Macaca fascicularis: one gene and its partner. The protein of the gene in region 2 interacts with the protein of the main gene of each other region in a pairwise test. Links are inferred from orthologs where the notes say so. Each region holds a gene or a part of one and is shown on either strand. Other genes may lie near its edges.

Region 1 (5,975 bases), on a different chromosome or scaffold from region 2:
TCACCCTCTCCCTCCAGGTTGGGCTACACTCCTTCCCCTGAGCTCCCATAATGCTGTGGTTGGACCTCCCATAGCACCCACCATACTGTGCTGTAATTTCCTCTTTATGTTTCTCTGTCTTCCCAAGAGCTCTTTCAGATACGTAACAGGTTTTTAAATATATATATATTTTCAAATCACCAGTAGCTACCACATTGCTTGGTTCATAGTTAACACAAAATAAATGGTTCTAGAGAATGTGACTACATGAACTCTAACATTATTGGAAGAAAACAAGATGAAAAGAGGTGAGATATCTTGTTTAAAGTCATACAACTGGTTACAAGGCTTCTTCAAGAACCCAGGTCTTCTGACTTCAAATCCAGTGCTCTGTCTATGCAGCTACTTCTGTGCCTAGCAAGGATGGTGGTGAGGAGAGCTGGCAGCAGCCTGAGTACCCAGGTACCCTGGCCATCCACTGGGCATTGAAGAAAGGGCTTGATCAGTAGATTGAGTGTCCTCTCCTCTATCCCTTACCAACCGGCCCCATCCCATCTTCTAAAGCAGTCATTTCTATTCCAAGTCGTCCAGGTAACTCAGCCAGGGATCAAGTCCACGTGGTTCTTGGGTTGATTTGAGTCCTGTACTTAGAGGAGGGTAGGTAACTGCTCCTTCTCAGGAGCTCAGGGAGAAACTGGACCCTCGGCCCCACAGCCCAAAAAAGGGAATGACCTTCCTAGTGAAGGAGGCAGTGAAGGTGTAGATGGGCTCTTGGGTGGCAGCATTGGTGAAGGTCACCCAGCCCACCTCATAGTCAAGAGACACCCGCACCTGCCGGGGCTGCTCCTTCAGGGTCAGCCGTGTGGGAAAGGAGCCCAGAGCCGAGACGAAGCCCCAGGCCAGTCTCACAGCCCACACGCCCTCCTCTGGCCGCAGTCGAAGCTCTCCCTTCCGCTGCACATCCTCACTCACCACGCCCACGGTGCAACTGCCCCCGTGTGCCAGGTCTATACTGACCACCCACGTGTGTCTCCCCCCTGTGATGCCAGTGTGGGCCAGAACACAGGTGGCCCGGTCAAAACGCTGGGGATTGTCTGGCGAGTTCTGCCATTTGTAGGAGAACTGAGCCCGCTGGCGGTCCTCGGACAAGAGGAGCTTGGGGTGGGAAGTCTGAGGGTCTAGAGAAATGTGAGCTGTGGGGATAACCAAAAGGGACAGATGTCAGCAGACATGCCATCACCTCCGAGGAAGGCCTAGAAACTCCCCCTGGGCCCCACCTGTTAGTGTTATTATTACCAAAAACAGGTCTAGTGCCTACATGGACCAACAGTGTGGCATCACCTGGGAACTTGTTTGATATACACTCTCAGAATCTGCATCCTAACAAGATGCCCAGGTGATTCGTGCACGTGTAAAGCCTGAAAAGCCTGCCTCAGAGGATGTGAAAGCTCTCGTTTAGTTCCATGTGGTCCTTGGGAAAGCTCTTCTGCTCATCGTAAATTGGTTAGTTTCCACAGCTGTGTGTGCCAGCTCGGCTCTCCTGGGGCCAATACACCACATTCTCCCCTCCTCCTGTCTCTATCCCGGAGTGCAGAGACATTTCTCCCTTCAGTCCAAACTTCATGATTCCTCCCTGCTTTCCTCCCAGGGCACTGGTGACTCATTTATAGTCTTCCCTCTTGGCAGGCTCTCTGGCTCACGCCTGGGTTATTCACTCTGCCTCAGTAATTCTGAAACTGTCAGAGTCTGAGGACCACTTTCTAACACCAAAAGCTGCTGCAGAGCTTTGCATTTTGTTACTTTTAGTATTCATAAATTGAGAAGCTTCCATAAATTTAGGCCCATCCATGGGTTAGAGAACCCCCTCCAACAACTCTGTGACTCCCAGGTTCTTAGGCTGGTTGATTGAGAAACGACAGCCTTGAAGGGGTCCCTTCTGTTCATTTCTTTCCCACCCACAGGCCACCCTCCTTCTGTCATCTGTGAAATGACATCTGAGAGGAAGCAGGGGTTCTTCACAGTTCTAAAGATGTGATTATGAACCCAGATCAAAGTCCCCTTTATGCAGAAAGCATTCCCAAATGGACCTTATCCCATTCTGTGTTAATCTTTCTATCTACTCAGCATGTGCAGCTCAGGATGTGAGCTTTGTACCACGAATGTAGTATGTGTATGTGCTTGTCCTTTCTTCATGGTTCTCCTGAGAGCCTTACAAAGAATGTGACACACACCCACACATATATACACACACGTATTCTATACAAGCACATATGTGCATATGTAATATCTATGATGTGCATATGTATGCATGGGTGTATATTATGACTATTGTAGTGCCCAGATAGAATCCTGCAAAATTGTCTCTCCTTTTCAAGGACTTCTCATTCTCTCCCATCCTGACATAGGCTGCTTACCTGGCTCATAGTCCAACTCAAAGTGTAGTTTTTCTGTAAAGAAAATAAACCAGGATGAGATTTTATTAGTTTTACAAAACCATCAGACACTTAATGACGAGGAAACTGAGGCCCAGAAGAGGGAAGCGACAACAAGAAGAATGGAAGCTGGAATCCTCTAGGCCAGTGGTTCCAAGCTTGCATCAGAATCATCTGGAGCACTTTTGCTAAAACACGCCTGTTTCAGATTCAGGTGCTCTGGGGTGAAGCTGAACATCTGTATTTGTAACAAGTTCCTGGGCAATGCTGCTGCTGCTGGGAACCCCACTGCCCCAGCCCTGAGCAAACAGGGACCATGTCTGCCTTGCTCACCTCTGTACCCGCAGAGCCCAGGACATAGTAAATGCTGAAGAAATATCAGCTTAATGAATAGAGAAATGGGTTCATTTATTTATTATTCCACTTGGAAATAATTTTGGGGAGAGTCAAAGGTCAGTCTTTGATTAGAGTAAAATTTCTCTCACTGCCAGGCCACTGGAAGTATTTGCAGGAAATGGACTTATGGGAAAAGTCCTTCTAGGGTGACATCACTGTGGGTGAGTCATTTAAAAATTGGTGTCATCATTCATTCTGTCACAGTTAGTGAGGAGGTGGTTGGCAGAGAGCCATATTCCATATCCCATTCCTGACTCTCGTTCCAAACCCTCTCCCGCCCCTTACCACCACTCCCTGTTCCGGAAAAGGAAATGGAGCACAGTCCCCACAGGACTGTCCAACTCTGAGAGCCAGACTTACAGAAGGAAAGTGAGAAGGAGGGAGGGACGGGCCAGCTACCACAGGGTCAAGATAAATACTGTGGCTGGCTATTAATTAACAATGCTCATCATCAAAAACTTATCACGTATTACAAATGTTGCTGTGGGATTTTTAAATTTATTAAGAATGATATACTGTTAATCATTATCTTTCATATTTCTTTTTTTTTTTTTTTTTTTTTTTTTTTGAGACGGAGTCTGGCTCTGTCGTCCAGGCTGGAGTACAGTGGCCGGATCTCAGCTCACTGCAAGCTCCGCCTCCCGGGTTTACGCCATTCTCCTGCCTCAGCCTCCCGAGTAGCTGGGACTGCAGGCGCCCGCCACCTCGCCCGGCTAGTTTTTGTATTTTTTGGTAGAGACGGGGTTTCACCGTGTTAGCCAGGATGGTCTCGATCTCCTGACCTCGTGATTCGCCCGTCTCGGCCTCCCAAAGTGCTGGGATTACAGGCTTTATCTTTCATATTTCTTAATGACTACTGATCAGATTTGTTGAATTATTTTAAGATCAGTTTAACTTTTTCACCAGAAATATTCACCTTTATTCTCTTTCTTCATCGTCACAGTATCCTAATAAGCAGATTTTATAAAAATCTGCAAATAAGAAAATCAAGGCACAGGAACGAATAAACCTTGCTAAAGTCACACCTTTCAGCAGTGGAGCGTGGAGTCCACTCCTAAACCCGGGCTTCATGGCCACCTGTGCTCTGTGGAGGCCTGGGATTCTCTTACCCAGAAACATCTTCATCTCCCTCTGTAGTGGGAGGGCCTGCTGGGGAAAGTCCCGAATCCTCTGGCCCAGCTCTGGGGACACAGCCACTGGTTTCCGGCACTTTCTGGTTTCACATCTAGGGGCACAGAAATGATTGGGTCTGGGAATTATCATCCTTAATAATGTCTCCAGACTCAGCCGGTCATCTTCTAAAATGGCATGAAGGTGCTAGTTCCCGCAGGCAGACATACTTCCTATGGATGAATCCCACTGCCCATTTTTGGGCATCTATGGGTATACCTGAGAAGGCATTTGGGTATATAGAGGTTTATACATAAATTTACATTCTTAAATGAGAATGTTATATACTTGTGTGGCAATAACTAGGCATGCGGTACATGCGTGTATATTTATATGGAAAAAGAAAAGAGAGAAATTATATTGCTTACCTTATTAGAGTGCTTCTGATATCCTAGGAGAAAGAGAAACCAGGGATTCAGTTTCCAGCTTCTCCTTTCCATTTTTTCTTTTTTAAATTTTTATTTTATTTATTTATTTTTTGTTTGTTTGTTTGAGAAAGGGTCTCACTCTGGTGCCCAGGCTGGAATACAGTGGCGTGATCACAGCTCACTGCAGCCTCAACCTCCTGGGCTCAAGGGATCCTCCCACCTCAGCATCCTGAGTAGCTGGGACTACAAGGGTGTGCACCATGCCTGGCTAATTTTTTTTTTTTTTTTGGGGGGTAGAGATGGGATTTTGTTATGTTGCCCAGGTACCTCCCACTTTTCTTATGACTGGAAAATACAAAATACATTTCTAGCCCTGAACAGGAAAAGGATACCAGATGTGTAGAGTCACAGAGCATTAGGACTCACCCACCTCTGGGGATCAGAGCCCAAAGCCTTTATTTTTTAGATACAGATGATGAGGTGACCTTCCCCTGCTCATTAGAGGCAAAGTAAGTCTCATACCAAGGTCTCCTGTTTCTCAGTCCTGAGGGCATCCTTCTAAGTCATGCTGCCTATCCAATACCTTATGGGGACCCCAATATCTCTCCTCCAGTGTGAGGAAGTGAAATAGACCAGCACAAACTTCCTGACTGGTGGATGGTGACATGTAGGCTATAGAGAATGGTTTGCAATGTACTTAATACTTTTCAAAGTGCTACTTTCACTTCCATCTCACTGTTGGATCCTCACAAAAGCCCTGTGAAATATTTAAGGGAAGTATCCTCCTTTTTTGGCAGATGGTGGGATGGAGAGGTGGAGACCAAAGAGCAAAAAGTGACCAGGGAACACTTGGAAAAGCATGAACCAGAATTGAGACCTTCTGGTCCTCTGACCTACCTCCCATCTGGGATACGGAGATGTGTGAGTCAGGGAGACATGACTTAGGCAAGGCAAAGATACAAGAGTCACAGGACAGCACAGGTGGGGCAGGGTTCAGGTTCAGGCCTCACCGTCAGGAGCTCCCTTGCTGGCCTCTCATTCTTCTCCTCCAGTTCTTCAATAAGAGTACTAAACCGGCAGATCTCTCCAGCAACCAGGAAATCAAATTCATCCTGTTGCTTCAAGATGTCTCCATCCAGGCTCTCCAGTTGTGCTAAGAGGATGCTCTGCTGTTCCTCTAGAAACTTCCTCAGGTGTGCGAACTCAGAAATCACCTGTTGTCTCTTGGTGGACACCTGAGTCTGAGGGGGCAGGAGGAGAGCCCAAGAGAAAGTTTGCTTCCTCCTTCTCCCTCTGCTCCTCTTCCTCCTACCCTGTCCCCAGGTAGATCTGGAACTGTATCATGGTTTCCTCTTCACCTGTCATCCCATTTCAGGGAGCAAGACTCACAGTGCTGTCTCAGCACCATCTGCTGCAGCTTCTAAAAGAGGGTAGGACTTACAGGAGGTGTAGGAGGAGGTGGTGGGGACACCCTACCTCCTGTCTTGTATGAAAAGCACACTATGTGCGCAGCCCTGAGCTACTTTACAGTCACAGTCTCATTTAATACTTACAGTAATTCAATGAGATCATGATGATTTTTACTCTCCATTTTACAGATAAGTAAACTGAAGTTAGAGAGTTGCTTGAG
Region 2 (6,071 bases):
TATAGGCATGAATTCTCTTCTCCCCAGTGTTAACCTTGCTTGAATTTCATCAGATTTAACAGTGAGACTCAGCGGCTAGTGTCCACTATCTCCTCTAGAGTACTTCTTATGAATAGAAGTAACAGTGGCAGGAACACGTAAAGATGCCCTCTGCTGTGGTTTCCATTTCTTATAGTTGCTTTTTTGGGGAAATGTTAGTCTGCTTTCAAGAAAAAAGGACAGAGTAGATAATCTTTTTGCTGGTTCAAGATCTAGAATTAAGATTGCTGACAGTGGGAAGGATAAGAGAAGAGAGGTTGCTCTTTTTCTCTTGTTCAGCCTTCTCTGTTCTATAAGTGCTGTGAGACAAAGATTCTCTAGAGCTAAAAAATATTTCAGTATTTTTTAAAAACCTTATGTGGCTCCAGAGTTTGGCACAAAAACGCACCCTTGCAGGCATGTCTTTCTTACCTTCTGTCTGTCTTATATGGATGTGATCCATGTAAACACTTGGAATAATGAGAAGTGAAATCAAACGATTTAGATTGGAATAGTTGTCTATAATCTGCAATTACTAAACTTTGTTTCTTTTTTAGTAATTTTATGCGTCAGGAGTGTTTGGATTCCAGATTTGTATTTGATAGACCACTGCCTGTGTCTCGTCTTGTATCTCTAATTGGAAGCAGTATCCTTTTTATGTTAGCATTTATGGATATGAACTTTGAAGGGTTTTGATACTTCTGTTAATTATTAGGAATATGATAATAACATGACATAGGTAAGATTGTGAAAACTTTAAAACAACAAATTGGGTTGCTCTTTCATTAGCCTTTATAAGCAATTGATATTTGCTAGACATAGATAAGCCCAACTTCAGGAAAATTAAGCATCTTTTTAGAGGGGATTTAAAGTTTCCTAATGGTTCTAGATGTCCCAAGAAATCCTAGACCCCTTGTATCCAAAACAAATCAGGTTTTACATGGGAAGAAATCATTTTGTTGGCACTCTTTCTTAGATTTGGTAGAAAGGCAAACATTTTATATTAGGCCAAAGAAATAGTGTCCTTTTGCGTTATTTCTCTGGTGGATTATATAACAATTAAGGAATAAGCCAGATACCTTTGTTAATAATGTATAATTTGAAAATAAAGATAGTACTTCATTCCTTGTTAAAACAAGCTCTTTAACCAGTCTAAGAGACCCAGATACCAACACAACGATATGGCCGGAGACCATATGGTGTTGGGCTGCTTATTGCCGGTTATGATGTAAGTTCATTGAATATTGTTATATGTTAATGATTTTTTTTATTAACTAGAAATTTTTATAAATTTTAGTTCAACCAACATAAATAATTATGTGGTGTATTTATTTCTATTTGTAGGATATGGGCCCTCACATTTTCCAAACCTGTCCATCTGCTAACTATTTTGACTGCAGAGCCATGTCCATTGGAGCCCGATCCCAGTCAGCTCGTACTTACTTGGAGAGACATATGTCTGAATTTATGGAGTGTAAGTGATAGCCTTGCTTTTTTTTTTTTTTTTTGGCCTCTTCCAGTCTATATAGTAAATAAATATAGTATCCTAACTACATAAAACTATCAGTCTTACAGAAAGAATTTTTTTTTAAAATTAAGCCCCAGAAGAGTTTGTTTCTGTCACATATACTAACTTCAACTTCTGGTTACCGCCAGAAGTTAAAATTGATACCGTAGTTTCAATCACGACTAGAACTTTTTCAAAATATAAATGTGTTCCCAACCTTGAAAATTCTTGATTCAGTTGGTCAGAAGTGTGCCCTGTGGAGTGGAGAGTGGAGAACCACTATACTACCTGCCAGTTGTAAGCTCTGTTCACTTTTAGTTTTCTGTGAGTCTTATTTTAAGCCACACAGACATTTCTGCATTAGTAGTCCATAAACAAGAAATAAAAAGGCAGTGTAGCTGAGGGAAAAGAAGGTAAAAGAGGTAAGATATTATGACAGGGCAGGTTTTCAAGTGCTTTGCTTTGCTTTGCATTGGAAGGAGGATATTGGGTTTTACATTTCTTTGTCATCTTATCTGTTTTCTGGTGACATAGCATTCTTTGGAGGAAATATTTGGGGTTTAGTGAATGCAGAGAAAAATAGTTTAATTGACATTACTCAAAGCAAACTGTTGTAGGATGACAATAGGTTTAACTTTGGGAAAAGAGGATTCCTTGGACAAATAAGCTTGGTAAATGCTTGCTTAAAGTTTAACATTTTAAATTATGGTAAATGGATTGGGGTCCCCAAGGTTACCCCTAAATTGGGAGATTTGCTAGGACTTAAAGCACTCAGCATATGGTTGTACTCCCAGGTTAAGACTTATAACAATAAAATAACAATACATAGGTGGATCATTAAGGAAAAATACAGTCCAGAGGAATCTATGTGCAGGCTTTCTTATGCTCTTTCCTTCCCAGAAGGAGTCACAGAGTACACTTGCAGCAATATGTATGTGACGTTTCTGCCCAGGGAAGCTCATTGGAAACTCAGTGTCCAGTTTGATTCAGAACTGCTCATATCGGCACCCTCTGCCTAGCACATTTCAACCTGCATAGGAAATTCCTAAAGATTGCAATAAATCCATAGATAATTTTGGGGAGTACTGTTACTTAAATGATACAAGGCATCTGATCCATGAACATGGAATATCTTCATTTATTTAGGTATTTAATTATTTTTTTCTTTTTTTTCTTGAGACGGGGTTTCGCTCTTCTTGTTGCCCAGGCTGGAGTGCAATGGCACAATCTTGGCTCATTGCAACCTCTGCCTCCCGGGTTCAAGCAATTCTCTTGCCTCAGCCTCCTGAGTAGCTGGGATTACAGACTCGCCACCACGCCCAGCTAATTTCATATTTTTAGTAGAGTCAGAGTTTCTCCATGTTGTTGGTCAGGCTGGTCTTAAACTCCCAACCTCAGGTGATCCACCTGCCTCGGCCTCCCTAAGTGCTGGGATTACAGGCATGAGCCACTGCACCCGGCCAGGTATTTAATTCTTTCACTGATGTTTTGTAGTTTTCCATGTACAAATCATATTTGTGTTATAAGTATTTTATTATTTTTGGTGCTGTTGTGAACAGAATTGTGTTCTTAATTTCATTGCATATTATTCATTGCAACTACGTAGAAATACAGTTGATTTTTGTATATCAATCTTATATCTTGCAATCTTGCTGAACTCGTTTATTAGTTCTAGTCATTTTTTTATAGATTCCTGAGATCGTGTCATCTGGGAATAGAGATAGTTTTACTTTCTCCTTTCTAATTGCCCTGGCTGGAACCTCTGGTACTAATGATGAATAGAAGTTGCATGAACAAACATTCTTTTCTTTGTTCCTTAACTTAAGGGAAAAGCTTTTAGTCATTCACTATTAAGAATGATGTTACCTGGCCGGGCGTGGTGCCTCACGCCTGTAATCCCAGCACTTTGGGAGGCCAAGGCAGGTGGATCACGAGGTCAGGAGATCGAGACCATCCTGGCTAACACGGCGAAACCCCGTCTCCACTAAAAATACAAAAAATTAGCCGGGCGTGGTGGTGGGCACTTGTAGTCCCAGCTACTCGGGAGGCTGAGGCAGGAGAATGGCATGAACCCGGGAGGCAGAGCTTGCAGTGAGCCGAGACTGCCCCACTGCACTCCAGCCTAGGCGACAGAGCGAGACTACGTCTCAAAAACAAAAATGATGTTACCTGTCAGCTTTTTGTAGATGCCCTCTATAAGAGGTTGCTTTCAATTACTAGTTTTGTGTTTTTATTATGCAAGGATTTTAGGTTTTATCACATGCTTTTTATGCATCTCTTGAGGTGATTATGCAGGTTTCCCCCTTCTGTTAACGTGTGTTACACTGACTTTCAGTTGTTAAACTAACTTATCATTCTTGGGATAAATCTCGCTTGTCTATGGTATATAATTTTTTAATATGTTGCCAGGTTCCATTTGTAGTTTTTGTTGAGGGTTTTATTTTTTTATTATTGTTATTATTTTTTGCATCTATATTGGGTCTGTAGTTTTCTTTTCTTGTGATGTCTTTATTCTTGGTATCAGTAATACTGGCCACATAGAATAAGTTGGAGATTCCTTTTTACAATGAGCAAATATAGGGACTAGGATTCTACAGAACACATTCTACAAAACTTGGAGTTGTATAATTTGTTGTCGGGATTTTGATTTGACCTAGCAAAAGAGAAGATCAAAATTGTAACAGAAATAATGAGTCCTCTCATTAAATAATGATCAGCAATGTCACAGAATGCTATTAAAAGATTGTATGACTAGCATTAAACTTGGCTGTTTTTACTGTGATAAATTTAGTGTGTAACTAAAAACCACAATTTCAGACTGTAGATTTGATCAATAACAGAAGCCTAACAATGAAATTAAGAAATAATTGTTGATTTATTACATATAGGCAATTTAAATGAACTAGTTAAACATGGTCTGCGTGCCTTAAGAGAGACACTTCCTGCAGAACAGGACCTAACTACAAAGGTAAGTATTGTCTTTTCCAATTGTAGATATTAATGTTACAGTTTAAACCTTTATTGCATAAATGTAATGGAGTATATATACAATATTCTTTAATTTGGGATATGATTGTCTTGCAGATTCTTTCCCTTTAAGCTATTTGCTAAGTAATCCAATTTTATTTTTTAAGCATTTCTTTTTGGTACAAAGCAGTAAAACCAGTAAATCTCATGCAAAATGTCCTTCGTTATTTTCAGCAGATTGGCCTATCTTGGTATTATTTAGTTAACAAAAATATATATATATTGAGCATCTACCATGTGCAGGCACTTTCTAGGCATTCAAAATATAGTAAACACAACAAATACCTTTTCCTTCATGGAACATACATCCTAGTAGGGAAAGACAGTATACACATAAGTATATTATATAGTATATTAGAAGAAGATAAATGCTATGTAAAAAATAAAAAAGGGTAAAAGGAGAAAGAATGACTTAATTGGATGTAGGTAGGTGGTCAAGGATATTTTCACCAAGAAAATTAAATTTGAGGAAAAGATATAAAGGAGGTAAGTGAGTGTGAGCTATGCAGATGTCTAGAGCAAAATTATTCTAGGAAATACAAATGCAAAGGCCCTAGTATTGAAGGCAAGGAGGCCAGTAGTGTTGGGATCTATCATCAAGAGGAAAAGGAAAGAAATCAGAGAGGTAATGGAGGTCCCATAAGGCATTGTGGGTACTCTGCATTTTACTCTGAGTGGGCTATTAAGAGTTTGAGCAGAGGAATACCATGATTTGGTTTAGGTTTTAAAACAGTCACTCTGGTTGGCATTTTAACAACAGATTGTGGGCTGGGCGTGGTGGCTCATGCCTGTAATCCAAGCACTTTGGGAGGCTGAGGTGGGTGGATCACTTGAGGTCAGGAGTTTGAGACCAGCCTGGCCAACATGGTGAAACCCCGTCTCTATTAAAAATACAAAAAATTAACCAGGCGTGGTGGTGCATGCAGTCCAACCTGGGTGACAAAGCAAGACTCCATCTCAAAAAAAAAAAAAAAAAACATTGTAGGGGTAGATAGATAGTGGGGCTATGGGTAGAAATAGTTTTAAGGCTATTCAGGTAATTCATGTGAGAGATGATAGCGATTGGAACAGAGTGACAGAGTTTAAGATGAAGAGTAGTGGTTCAATTTTGTATATCTTTTGAAATTACAGCCAAAAAGTTTGCTAATAGATTTGTGGTAGGGTGTGAGCGGGGAATGTCTCTGAGGTTTTGGGCCTGATTAATTGGAAGGAAAGATTTATGATTTACTGAGGTGAAGAAGACAGTGGGAGGAACAGGTTTTAAAGTAGGCGTTGGGGAGGAAGGTCAGGCAGTCAGTTGTGGACATGTAAAATTTGAAATGCCTTTTTGTCCAATTGACGGTACAGAGTAAGCAGTTATAAGCAACCAATGGAGTTCCACAGAGAGTGGTCCAACCTACATTTCAAATTTTTGAAGTCTTTATATAGAAATGGCATTTAGAGTCTGGACTGGAAGAGATTCCTAAAGGAATTGAATAGTTAGACAAGCATTATGAGGACTGGACCAAGAACACTCTAA

What was found. The genes of interacting proteins can lie anywhere in the genome.
Region 1: the proteins of PSMA1 (region 2) and TRIM10 interact in binary tests that used the Homo sapiens proteins (3 or more experiments, as listed by UniProt). The two-hybrid records come from large-scale screens. The link is inferred for Macaca fascicularis from reciprocal best matches to the Homo sapiens genes PSMA1 and TRIM10.

What each region holds. Positions count from the first base shown.
Region 1 is NC_088378.1:142,514,436-142,520,410, reverse strand, and holds part of TRIM10 (tripartite motif-containing protein 10), read right to left. Parts: intron 5,587-5,975; coding exon 5,356-5,586; intron 4,369-5,355; coding exon 4,346-4,368; intron 4,033-4,345; coding exon 3,917-4,032; intron 2,427-3,916; coding exon 2,394-2,426; intron 1,173-2,393; coding exon 655-1,172; 3' UTR 458-654; coding exon of another isoform or gene 374-457; 3' UTR 1-373. UniProt on the Homo sapiens protein: E3 ligase that plays an essential role in the differentiation and survival of terminal erythroid cells. May directly bind to PTEN and promote its ubiquitination, resulting in its proteasomal degradation and activation of hypertrophic signaling.
Region 2 is NC_088388.1:51,243,520-51,249,590, forward strand, and holds part of PSMA1 (proteasome subunit alpha type-1), read left to right. Parts: intron 1-575; coding exon 576-664; intron 665-1,175; coding exon 1,176-1,246; intron 1,247-1,362; coding exon 1,363-1,492; intron 1,493-4,413; coding exon 4,414-4,493; intron 4,494-6,071. UniProt on the Homo sapiens protein: Component of the 20S core proteasome complex involved in the proteolytic degradation of most intracellular proteins. This complex plays numerous essential roles within the cell by associating with different regulatory particles.